3 linked regions of the Cricetulus griseus genome follow. The protein of the gene in region 1 interacts with the protein of each later gene in a pairwise test. Links are inferred from orthologs where the notes say so. Each region holds a gene or a part of one and is shown on either strand. Other genes may lie near its edges. The genes, in order: Gimap5, Eda and Lsmem2.

The links.
Region 2: the proteins of Gimap5 (region 1) and Eda interact in binary tests that used the Homo sapiens proteins (3 or more experiments, as listed by UniProt). The two-hybrid records come from large-scale screens. The link is inferred for Cricetulus griseus from reciprocal best matches to the Homo sapiens genes GIMAP5 and EDA.
Region 3: the proteins of Gimap5 (region 1) and Lsmem2 interact in binary tests that used the Homo sapiens proteins (3 or more experiments, as listed by UniProt). The two-hybrid records come from large-scale screens. The link is inferred for Cricetulus griseus from reciprocal best matches to the Homo sapiens genes GIMAP5 and LSMEM2.

The regions. Positions count from the first base shown.
Region 1 is NC_048601.1:98,479,209-98,482,700, forward strand, and holds Gimap5 (GTPase IMAP family member 5), read left to right. Parts: upstream 1-1,426; coding exon 1,427-1,454; intron 1,455-2,010; coding exon 2,011-2,885; downstream 2,886-3,492. UniProt on the Homo sapiens protein: Plays a role in T lymphocyte development and the optimal generation of CD4/CD8 double-positive thymocytes. Inhibitor of GSK3A, possibly by sequestering GSK3A in cytoplasmic vesicles and impairing its translocation to the nucleus.
Region 2 is NC_048604.1:70,348,936-70,353,235, forward strand, and holds the start of Eda (ectodysplasin-A), read right to left. Parts: upstream 2,944-4,300; coding exon 2,548-2,943; intron 1-2,547. UniProt on the Homo sapiens protein: Cytokine which is involved in epithelial-mesenchymal signaling during morphogenesis of ectodermal organs. Functions as a ligand activating the DEATH-domain containing receptors EDAR and EDA2R. May also play a role in cell adhesion.
Region 3 is NC_048597.1:215,778,347-215,782,676, forward strand, and holds the start of Lsmem2 (leucine-rich single-pass membrane protein 2), read right to left. Parts: upstream 2,849-4,330; 5' UTR 1-2,848. Other genes in the region: Sema3b (semaphorin-3B), read right to left, coding at 3,427-3,831, 4,242-4,330.

The sequences.
Region 1 (3,492 bases):
TTCATAATAGCATGCCATGATTTTCTGACCATGTTTTTAAGGTACTGTGGTAAAGGATATGGGAAAGAATGGTATAATTACTGTTGCCCGATGAGACTAAGATAATCTACTCAAGGCCAATGTTTATGACATTTCCACAGTGTTTCCAAGCGTGGCCTGCACCTGATCTCTTCTCTAGTCTCTTCCAGTCCTGCACAATGCCATGGAGTGCATCCTCGGAGGGGCATGGGGAAGCTCTTCCACTTTTGCTAGCTCTGAGGTCCAACCAGGGGCAGGAAATACCTGCTGCACACCCACCGATCCTTCCACCAACTACTTAAAAATGAGTGGCAGAGCTGATGGCTGTGAGGTGGGTGGGGCTGGTGGATGGCTGGCTCCCAGTGGGCTGGCTGAGGGCACAGTGCTGTCCCAAGAGGGTGGTGGCTTAAAATAAGATACCCCAAAGGGGACAGAAAAGGTGACAGTCATTTTACTGAAGGAGTGTGGGTTCCCACTAGAGGAAGCACGGGAGAGGGAAATGTGTAAGCATTTGAGACAGTCTCAAACCTAAAGAAAGCTCCGGCCCTTGCTTTTGTTCCTCTTTTTGATCAGGCTGGATCTGGAGACAGCAGCGGTTTGAAGCACTCACTTTGGGTGCATGACCTGCCTGCCACCTGTTGCTTGGCCAAAGGCATCCTATGAGTAGTCCTGCCTGAGAGAGTAGTCAGCACCTAGGGGCAAAAAACAGCATGCAGGGAGGAAAGGAAGGGCCCTGGAAGAGAGATGCCCTCAAGGTGTCTGCAATCCAGGACTGAGATGGAAACAGAGACACTGTGACCTCAGGAGCACAGCACACTAGTCAGTCACCTCAGGACTTTGCTTTTCTTTCCCTCTGCTTCCTGGGCACATCCCACCACTCCCCAACCTGGCCCGACAACAGAATCCTACTCCTGGGTGAACAGCCAGTCCTGGTTTGCCCAGCCCTTTCCCAGTTTGGACAGAGAAAGCCCTGTTGTCTGGACTCAGCTAAGCTCCAGGCAGAGCAGGAGGACCACTGCCATGGAACAAGGGAAGAATTACATTTGTCTCTTGGAGATGCTGGGCGTAGAGAGCAGCCTCTAGTGCTAGGTTCCCAAAGAACCCAGACAGCCATGTTCTCAGTAGAAATAACTGACCAGCTGAAGTGACTGTTATTGTGGGTACACAGCCCACTTTCGTTCTGCCTGTGGGCTGAAGAAAAGTCCTGGTGACAATGTCCATGTGATCACATGACATGCACCCTTTTCTTGGGTCTTTCTGCTTTGAGTCATTTAGAACTACCTGTAAGTATGTGTGTGACTCCATCAGTTCTTTCTCTTTGGCTTGATTTCCCTTCCTACAAGATGATGTGTTTGGTGCTGCATATTATATTCAAATCTTCGCATATTTTCCCTTCCAGAAACAAGAAATGGAAACTCTTCAGATAGTTGTGAAAGGTACCTTCCCCGAAGGTAAGAAGGCTGCTGTGGGTGGAACTGTTTTCAACTGTCAAGGACCACTGCTCAGTGCCTAGAAAGGGACAAACCTCCCTCCAGGCACCTACAGCAAGGCAAGTGTGCCACCAGATAATTGAACGTATTAGGCCATTAACTGTCAGAGTCTCCAGAGCAAGGGCAAGTTCCCCAAGGTAATAACCTGCAGTTGTGTAAAACAGAGACCAGGGAGGGTGGGAGGAGATGAAGATAAGGGGACAGATGAACAGAATGGCCAGGCGGAGATTACCCTGAGCATTCTACATTGGCTTACCACTTCATGCCTAGACAGAAAGAAGGTCCTGATGAATGGTAAAATTGGATTGGTGAATCCCCAGGGGAAAGACGCCTTGGACTCTGACCATCAGAAGCACTTTATCCCACAAGTCCGGAGTGTGGTGGTATGGGGTGGTTAAAGCAGAGGGAGGGAGTACTGATTGGTTTGCACTAGTTCCTGTCAGTTTTGTCTTCTTCTTCACCAATCATTTTTTCACACCCGAGCCTCCCTTTACTCCCAAAGGCAGAAAGAAAGATGGCTGCACCCCAGGATCACCTCCACTCAGGATCCTCCTGGTGGGCAAATCTGGCTGTGGGAAAAGCGCCACAGGGAACAGCATCCTCTGCCGACAAGCATTCGAGTCCAGGCTCAGAGCCCAGTCAGTGACCAGGACCAGCAAGGCAGAGATGGGCACATGGAAGGGAAGGAGCTTCCTAGTGGTAGACACACCACCCATCTTTGAGTCAGAGGCCCAGAACCAAGACAAGGACATTGCAGACTGCTATCTGCTGTGTGCCCCGGGACCCCATGTACTGTTGCTGGTGACCCAGCTGGGACGCTTCACCGCCCAGGACACCATAGCCGTCAGGAGGGTGAAGGAGATCTTCGGGGCAGGAGTCATGAGGCACATGATCCTCCTTTTCACCCACAAGGAAGACCTGGCCAATGAGACCTTGGATGAGTTTGTGACCCACACTGACAACCACAGCCTGCGCAGCCTGGTCCAGGAGTGTGGGAAGAGGTACTGTGCCTTTAATAACAGGGCTTCTGGGGAAGAGCAGCAGGGGCAGCTGGCAGAGCTCATGGCCCAGGTGAGGGCGCTGGAGCAGGAGTGTGAGGGCTCTTTTCACAGCAATGACCTCTTCCTTCATGCCCAGGAGCTCCTTAGTGGTAACAACAGTGAGCGCCAAGAAGCCTACAGGTGCTACCTGGCCAAGGTGAGGCAGGAGGTGGCGAGGCAGAAGCGGGAGCTGGAGGAGCAGGAGGGCAGCTGGGTCCTCAAGGTGCTTCTCAGAGGCACAGAGTGGATGGCTGTGCACGCTGGGACTTGTGCTAGTTTTGTATTGTCAGTACTAATATTCCTTGTTATTTTTCTGCTCATATGTTTTAATGTGTGATGCTCTGTACTTCAGAGATGTTTCTAAAGCACCATGCCGGGATGCTTTGCTATGAGCATAACCTTCAGAAAACCACTCTGCTGGTCTGTGAGACGTTGCTACTCTGAGCCTCTTCTTTTTCCCCCGTTAGAATTCCTATTTGCATTAGGCAAAGCTCACAGAGTCCTGTGGAGCAGGAGCAGGAAGGATCAGAGGAACCAGAGGGGTCAGGGACACCAACAGAGAGAACACAACCCACATAACTAACTGACCAGGATTCATGAGGGCTCACAGAGATCAGGGAGCCAGTAGCTGTCTGACCTGCAGGTTCCCTGCATATATGTTACGGCCAAGTAGTTTGATGTTCTTGGGGGATTCCTGACAGCGGGAGTGGGGACTGTCTCTGACTCTTCTGCCTGCTTATGGGACCCTTTCCTCCTACTGGGTTGGCTTGTCTAGCCTTGATATGATAGTGTGTGCCTGGTCTTATTGTAGCTTGTTATGTGATTTTGGTTGGTGTCCCTGCTCTTTTCTGAGGGGAGATGGGGGGTGGATCTAGAGTGGAGGGGAGGTGGTGGGGTAGGGGAGGGAGAGGACACTGCGGTTGAAATGTAATTATAAGAGAAGA
Region 2 (4,300 bases), on another chromosome or scaffold:
ATCTGCTCACCACAGTTTAGTATCATCAGCTTGCCTTCACTCTTTCTAAATACATTCATATGAAACCCAAATATATTGCCCATGGGGGGGTGCATGTTTTTGTCTCTGATCCTCTCTGTACAAAACTTGCTGTAACGGCAGCTGTTTATGTTAAAAAACTAAAATATAAAATATGACCTACGTGACCAAGTCCCAGGAGGCTGTTTACTTCCTTATTTATGAATCAGAATCTGTCAGCACAACTTAGAAGTTTGATTGTCAGCAGTTAGTACAATTAAATGTCACTGCAAAACCAGCAGAGGGTGCACCAGGGCACTAGAAATTTTACCCAGATATAGCACATCAATTTAACTCAATTAGCCAATCAACTTTTCCTTTATTTATTTATTCATATATTTGCTTATTCATATGCTAAAACTAATATCCTCAAGAGAAACAAGTTGAATCTGAGTTAACACTTCCTCAGTTATATTCCAGTTTTCCTGAAAGTTAAGTTCAAGACAAATAAGGAGTATATGGTTAAACTTAGCCTGGTCAAAATGTAGTTAGAGCAGAACAAAACGACACAGATTTGAGCCCTTCATTTTGTAAAAAGTCTACTATGGAGTTCCAACCTGTGGTTGCCTCATTCCCCTCAAAAAATTTTTTTTGGTAGATACTATTTTATGGGGTAATATGTACTAAATTGAAGATGAAGACCCAACTTCATCCTAGTTTTGACTCAAGCTATGATATCTTGGGCCATTTACTTCTCCCTCGGGGGCTATAAGTTCTCCAAAGGAATCAACAAAATAGACTTAGGTGGTACCTTACAAATCTGAAAAACTTCAATTCCAAGTTGATGCCAATAATTGTAAAGAGCTACTATCATTGCTTTGACTGTCCCAAAGGACTAATCTAGAAAGATTCTAAAGGAAAGGAGATGAGAAACTGTGTTGAAACACCTAAGTATTTTAGTGCTACACAAGTGTAGGCAACTAAATGCCATGACAAAGCCATGAGAGTCCCAAGCTATCCCAGAAGCTCTAGAATACAGCTGTCCGCCTAATCCTCAGTCCATGAACATGACTCTGTCCACCCTGAATGCCCAAAAGCCTTGACCACCAGTTGACTAGAGAAGTTGAACTCTCTGATACTTTTTACAGAATATTAATGTGCAGCTGCTAAGTATTTCTATGGGGATGAGGAGGGGGAAGATAAATAAAAGATCCAGAGTCCTAATTAATTATCACCCAGCCATAGTGTTTAAAGTTTCAGGTATGAGGAGCATGTCTGCAGATTCTTTTCTATGATAAGCTGTTATATAAGTTGGAGTATGTTTGAAAGGCATTTTAGGGCTGGGGCATTTTTACAAAACACATTATAAAAGAGAAAAATGTCAGTCCTGACAGAGATTGTTATGAATGTGACAGCTCTAAAGTGTACAAGTTTGAAGGTCAAAGTAGCACAAATAATGTTTAAAGAGTTGTGACAATGACTATGGACCAAATACAGAAGGCTTCCATGTGTCACTTCAAGTAAGTTACTTATACAACTTGTTTTCTCAAAAGGGTACAAACTAACCATTAGTCTTTAACCACTCAAAAAGATCCTTGGTTGCTTTGCCTAAGATTCACATGTAAGACAGCTTTGGCAACCACGAGAGTATTTAATACCAAGTACATTGAATTTACTTGAAGAAAGAATTAGGAAAACAACCAAGCTAATGGTTTGCTAAAAGGGATACAAACACTCTAAAGAATACCAAAAACAAAACAAAAATCCAACTTCCTGTTCTGAAGCTAGCGATAATGAAAACCCTTCACACCCACTGCACCCCACTCCATCAAGAAGAGTGTCAGAACCGGCATGCAAAGGGTGAGTTTTGTTTCCATAGATTTTTTAAATTGCTGTTCAGAAGTTGTCTAGCAAGACGGCATATTTCTACCAGAATTCCTCAGGGGCGCTGATCCTCACGAGAACGCTGAGGACAATCGGTCTCAAATTGCAGGTAAGTGTGAAAAAGCTCACATTCTGGTCAGCGCACAAGAACCCGGCGCTGAAAAGTACGGTTAAAAGTTGTTTCAGCGGGCGTGGAACAGTTATTACAGCTGTTTACAGCTCCAACTCCAAAGAGGAGCCTGCTAGTGCTGGCATCAGCTCGGGACACGAAGAAACAAGCACCGCGGGCAGGGAACCTCACCAGGGGCACCAGGGGCCAAGCTGCTCGCCGTTAGACGGCCACGGGGGCGGCGCAGGCACCTCTCCGCCGGCCCGGGTGCGAGCCCGGCCAACTTTTCCCCGAAGCAGCCCACACCCCCCGGGGGCGGCGCAAGCAGGCTGGGCTTTCCAAGTCCTTGGGACCCGAGAGGGTCTGGATGAGCCAAGCCAAGAACTGAGAACAACCTGCCCCGGACAACCTCTCCCTAGCTCTCCGGCCCACTCCCAGGTCCTGCCCTGTAACTTGGCTCGGAGTGGCAGAGTCCCCCAAGCCCTGAGGCGCAGGCCCCCACCCAACCTAGCAGGGGAGGGGGCCTCCAAGGCCGCCGCCCCTCCTAGGTGACTCACCTGGTGCCGGTCCTGGGAGTCAGGGGGGAGTGGATCTTCTCCTGGTTCCAAAGGCTGCTGTTGAAAGGGCGGCTGCCCGAGGTGGCGGGTGATGGGACCCACGGGGTCGAGGCTACCAGGGCTACTTAGGGTGCCAGAGGTGCCAGGAGCACCCGGGCCGCTGAGGCGGGACTCGGTTCCCCGTTCCCGCCGCAATTCGGACCGCAACTCTAGGTAGCAGCACAGCGTCAGCAGGTGGAGGGCCAGCGAGAGGCCAAAGAAACCCAGGAAGAGCCGGCAGCTGTTCCCTTCGCCAGCCCGAGCGGGGGCCCCGCGACAGCCGCAGCCCTGGCTGCCCCGCTCCCTTGGCGCTGCTGCGGGCAGGGGTTCCCTGCGCTCTGCCTCGGGGTAGCCCATGGCCTCCAGAGACAGCCACTATCTGAGGCCCGGGAGCCTCTGCCTCTGCCTCAGCCCTTCGCGACCCCTGACAGGCGGCTACTGTCCTGCCATCGGCTGGGGGCTGCAGGGACCCGTTCCTGAGCGACGGTGGCTGGGCGGGACAGAACAGGGAGCAGCCGCATGTGCAGCTCCACTCCGAGGGGTGGGAAAGGGAGGAGGAGGGGCGGGAGAGAGGGGCGGCGCGGCCCAAGAGGGAATGAGGGAGGAGGTCCTCACCTACCCCGCCCCATGCCTCAAGGGGCGGCCGGGACGCCCAACCACGGGCCCGCCAGGTCTGGGCGCCCCGCCTCCTGCTGTTCCACTCGGGCCTCCAGCCGTGGGGCGGGGCCTGGGGGCGTGGGGGTTCACCTCTGCCTGGCAGCCCCACCCAGCTCTTCCCGCTTGCCCCGTTGCAGTTGGTGACTGCCGCTGTCGTTCATCTCTGGACTCCACCCCGGTTTAACCCTTCGGCAGCGCCGCTATGGGGGAGGGCAGGAGGGGGAGGCTGAGAAGAATTTGGGAACCTTGGAAAGAACGTGGAGTAAAGAAAAGGAGGCAGAAACTAGCATTAATAGAAATGTTTGCAATTAACTGCAGTTGTTAATAACATCATCCAGTACTTATCTGTTGCTTTCAATCTTCAAAGCGTTTAACAGACGTTAAACTAATTAAAACAGTTCAGGGTTTGGAATGAAACCATGCCTGCTGTGTTTGCAATTCAATGGCTCCCAGAAGAAAAGGAGACCTAGGAGCCTGGGAGCCAAACAGACTGGGAATCAGGATGTCTCACTCCTAGAGTGAGTCTGGGGGCACAGTCAAAGCCTAGTGCCAAGTGCCTAGTGGAACTGAAGTGATACTATCCCTTGAAGGGTAATACAGTTTCCTAGGATTTCTTGACATATTAATTCATTCAACAGATATGCATTAATCCTTTTCACAAGGCTGAAAGTGTTGTGTGAGTGAGCCCACAGCCAAAAGTTTATCTTCTTCCAGGGCTGCAGAAGTTTTGAAAGATCACGAGCCTTCCAAGAGCAGGTGGGTAAACTGAGGGTCACAAAGAGGTGAATTTTTACAAGGGTGGTCCACAGAATGGCCAGACACTATTGTCATCTCTACTTGCAGACAACTGTTCTGGCCTCTCCACCCTTCCCATGCTTCCCCTGGAGTACTCCCTGGGGGAAGTTCAACAAGTCAGCCAAATGTTCCAGATGTACATGCTGCAACTGCAGCATCTTCAACAGCTGCACCAATCAGAAACAGGGTCAGAGAAAAAAATGGCAAATGTCAGAACAATAGACCTGGAAATGAAGGATGGAAAAGATTAGTTGTCAAGAGT
Region 3 (4,330 bases), on another chromosome or scaffold:
TTGGTTTTGTTTTTTAAGACAGGGTGTCTCTGTCTCACTCTGTAGACCAGGCTGGCCTCGAACTCACAGAGACCCACCTGCCTCTGTCTTCAGAGTGCTGGGATTAAAGGCCTCACCACCACAAACTCCGATCTTCATGGTTATGCAGCAAGTGCTTTTAATCACTGAGCCATCTCTCACCTCACCCCCCCATTTTTTAATTTTATTTTATTTTATTTTTTTTTTTGTGATAGGTTCAGAAAGTTCCCAGACTGGTCTTGAGTTCCTGGTTAACTCAAGTTACCTTTCTGCCTCAGCCTTCCAATTGCTATCAATGTCTCTCTGACTTCTAAATAACTATAACTCTGCTTTCCTCTGGCATTATTTGACTGGATATGTATTTTTGAAACAGTCTCACTACGTGGCTAGCCTAGAACTCATTATGCAGACCACGCTGGCCTTGATCTCACAGAGATTCTCCTGCCTCTGCCTCCCAAGTGTGCACCTCCAAGGCCTTCTATTGGATTTGGTTGCTTTAGTTCTGATTCCACAAGCGCTCCCGATGCCTGCAGAGGGATAGGTAGCGGTGTGCCAGAGTGCGGGGCAAGGACTGCACTGGGCCCTCTAATGTGCTTGAAGCTGCCCCTTGACAGGCTCACAAGCAATTCAAACAAAAGCAGATGCTGTCAGTCCTCAAGCCTGGCTGACGGACTGAGGTCACATTAAATACCCTCTGCACTTCACTAATTCTCCCATACCTTATATTTGGGCATATTTTATTTGCTATAGACAAAAACACATGGTAGATGTTACAGTTAAGTCATTGCCGCCCCCCACCCATAAAAGATACACACACACACACCCCTTAGTAGAGGGCAGGCCCTTTCTCTGGTTAGATCATGCCAGAGGCATGTCTACTTCCCAGTCCCTGGGCCAGACGTTGAAATGCTTCCTGGAACCGCGTCGCACCCCAACCCCAGCCTCTTTGCTGAAGGAAGAGCTAAATTGCTTGGCAGCTCCCCAGATGCCCACACCCACTTGGGTAGAGTTGTCCCATTCTTAGGTAGAAAGCTGTGGTCCCTCTCCCTGGCCCATAGCAAGGAAAACTGAGGCAGGACCTGCAAAAGGGAGTTCTAAGTATGGCAGGTCCATTCTTTGTCTGTGCATAGGGATTGGTGTCTAGAACAGGGATATGAAAAGACTACTCAAGGCTGTGAGGTCTCTCCATGAGCCATAGGGCCATAAAGCTTTGTCCTCCCCCATGGCTACCCTCTCCTACCTTCTTGGGTCTCCTCAGGCATGGCAGTTGATACGTATAGTCAGGGGCCAGATGAGAGTGACCAGTAGCAGAACTGGACAAACATAGCAGTGGCTCCTTTAGGATCCTGGGAAAGGTCTGGCTGCCTCCCAACCTGGTCTTAAAATAGGTCTGAGCTCACTTCCCTGGGCTATATTTAGAGGGGGCATCTCCAAGCCGTGAAAAGGGGCAGAGTGACCCAGATGGACTGACCTAGACTACCTACTCGGTGATAGGGCACAACTAAGAGCTAGCACATGGGCCCAGGGAACTTCTCTGAAAGCCATAGCAACTCTATACACACATAGGCCTTGGGGTCCCCATCCCGGTCAGCAGGCAGCATATGGCATGTATGACAGGAAAGAAACCCTGCTCATCTCCCCTCAGCCATCCCTCACCCCCATAGACCCTGCACCCACAGCCCAGCCATTTCCTTCCAGCAAATGTGAGATGAGCGTGTGACCACCTAGCAGCAGATATTGGGGGTGGTGGACAACTGGAGCACAACACCATAAGGATCTGGCAGCCCCCAAGTGGACACTCATGCTGGCTGGTGGACAGACTGGGATTAAAAGCTGGTATTTCTAGTATTAAGCTGTAGCCTTATGTAAAGAGGACCTTGAGAGTGGCCTCTGTTTTCCCATCTGTAAAACAGGAGCAAGGAGCCAATTGTACTGAGAATAAAAATGCAGAGACATGACTAATGTACTTAGCACAGAGTAGTCTTGGTCCTCCCTCCCCCTCCTCTCCACAAGGGCTTAACAGGCCACGTGAAGGCATGTGAGGATGGACGCTCAGCGACATTGCACACTCTTGAAGAGCTGGTCCAGTCTCCAGGCCTTAGTCAGTTTGTGAACTCTGTTCTGCTTCTTCTGGACGGTGCACAGCAAGACTGTGGGAAGGGTCTACCTTCCAAAACATCCTGAGTCCATCATGTGGCACCCATATTCGCCTCCTTGTCTTCCTCAGACTTGGCGGGCTTGTTCCCTGCTCCAAGGCTTTGCACTGACTGGTTCTTCCATTCTGGAATGCTCTGCCTCCAGACATCTGTGACTGGTTCCAACTGGTTCCCTCTTATCTTTCGGCTTGTATCAACCCTTCAAGTGAGTTCTGCACACATTCTTGCCCACAACATGCAGTACTGTTTGTTTGTTTTTACTTCAGAGAGCTTTGCCCTGCCATTACTAGCTGCAGGATGCGCTGTGCATGTCAGCCCCCCAGAGGCTCACTGGAGCCAGCTGGGTCATCTAATACCACTTCCAATCTTCACTACAGCAATCTTTTTTTTCCCCCAAGACAGGGTTTCTCTGTAGCTTTGGAGCCTGTCCAGGCTAACCTCGAACTCACAGAGATCCACCCGCCTCTGCCTCCTTTGTGCTGGGGTTTAAGGTGAGTGCCACCCACCGACAAGCAGAATGGCAATCTTGAATGAGAAAAATTCAGGATTTAAGACTGCTAGGACAGGGGCTGGAGAGATGGCTCAGAGGTTAAGAGCCCCGACTGCTCTTCCTGAGTTCAATTCCCAGCAACCACATGGTGGCTCACAACCATCCGTTATGAGATCTGGTGCCTTCTTCTGGTGTGCAGATATACATGGAAGCAGAATGTTGTATACATAATAAATAAATAAAATCTAAAAAAAAAAAAAAAAAAAAGGACTGCTAGGACAATGCCGGAGACTCCCAGCAAGGTCAAGGACCAGCTGTTATCTGCTGGGGCCATTCCAACGTCAGCTGATAATGTGTTTATTGCATTACTTTAGTACAGTTGCCCTGCCTCACTCCAACCCACAGTCTAATCTGCTACAGCTTCCTGCTCACTGCCCAAGAGAATGCTTGCCCCAGGACAGGCACCCAAGACAGCTCTCTGGCCCTGGTCTACACCGGAGCCCCACTTCTCTGTCCCCTCCCTCCAGGCTAGATCCTGAATTGAGCCTGGACCACTCCTCTGAGACTACATTCGCGGGTTATCTTGTTAATAAATAAGCTGGCTCGGCTACCCTTTGGCCAGGGCCGATGTATAAGTTAGGTGTCTCTATTGGTCCAAGGACCTCAGTGTGCCTCAGCCACAACTCATGTCTTCCTGATGTCTGTCTGTCCCCTTTTCTGAGTGTCATATCCAGCCTGGTCCCCCGTGTGATGACAGCCCAGTCACCAGTGTGCTGCACTACGTGGCCCACGCTCAGCACGCAGCTCAGAGGCCTGCATCCGCCTGTTGCGACCCTTACGACGCGATTCTGTTGCCACAGAGGAGGGTCTGGGCTGGGGGTGGCACATTCGCAGGGAGTTTGCCCCTCCACTGCCGCCTGGCTCCACCAGTTGTAGAAAGTCCCGGTACCAGAGCTTGGGGCCTGGTGGTGCAGGGGCAGCTGCCTCCTCAGCCCGCGCCAGTCGTTCGGCCTGTACGGCACTCAGCACGTGCAGCACCAGGCGACGCAGGGGCTGTGAAAAGCCTTGCTCAACTGCGACACACAGATACACGCCAGAGTCCTGGCGCCTCAGACCACGCAGCAGCAGCCCCCGCGAGGTCCGCTCAGCTCGCTCATCAGCCAGCACCTGTGTGTGAGGACAAGCACAGAAACAGAAACAAAGGGTCACTGGGAGCCAAAGCTAGACAAGGAAAATAGGTGGTGGCAGTACTCACTAAAAGGCTAGGTGCAGAGGGATGGGCAGCCTTGGAACGGAGATCGAGGGTCACTCAGATGGGGGAGGAAATAGACTAGAAACCTCAACACATGGGTGGGTTGAGGGCCCTCTCCTTCCAGATGGTGGAGGGTAGGCCAGGACTCTAGCTGGACACAGTGGGACATCACTGATGGACTGTGGCGTTCAGCTAAGGACGGAACAGGATGGGACCTATATGGAGCCTGACTCTGTAGCCTCACTGAACTGGACTTCTATGGGGTACAAGCCAAAGGCCTCCTTAGGCAGTCAGGCCTAGTTAGGAAGGGTGGAGGGAGGCACACCTGGGTGTGAGCCACCTCCCCTGCACGATGGAAGGTCCACTCCACATGTGCCTGTAGCGAGCGAGGCTCACACTCCAGAAAGGCGCTGC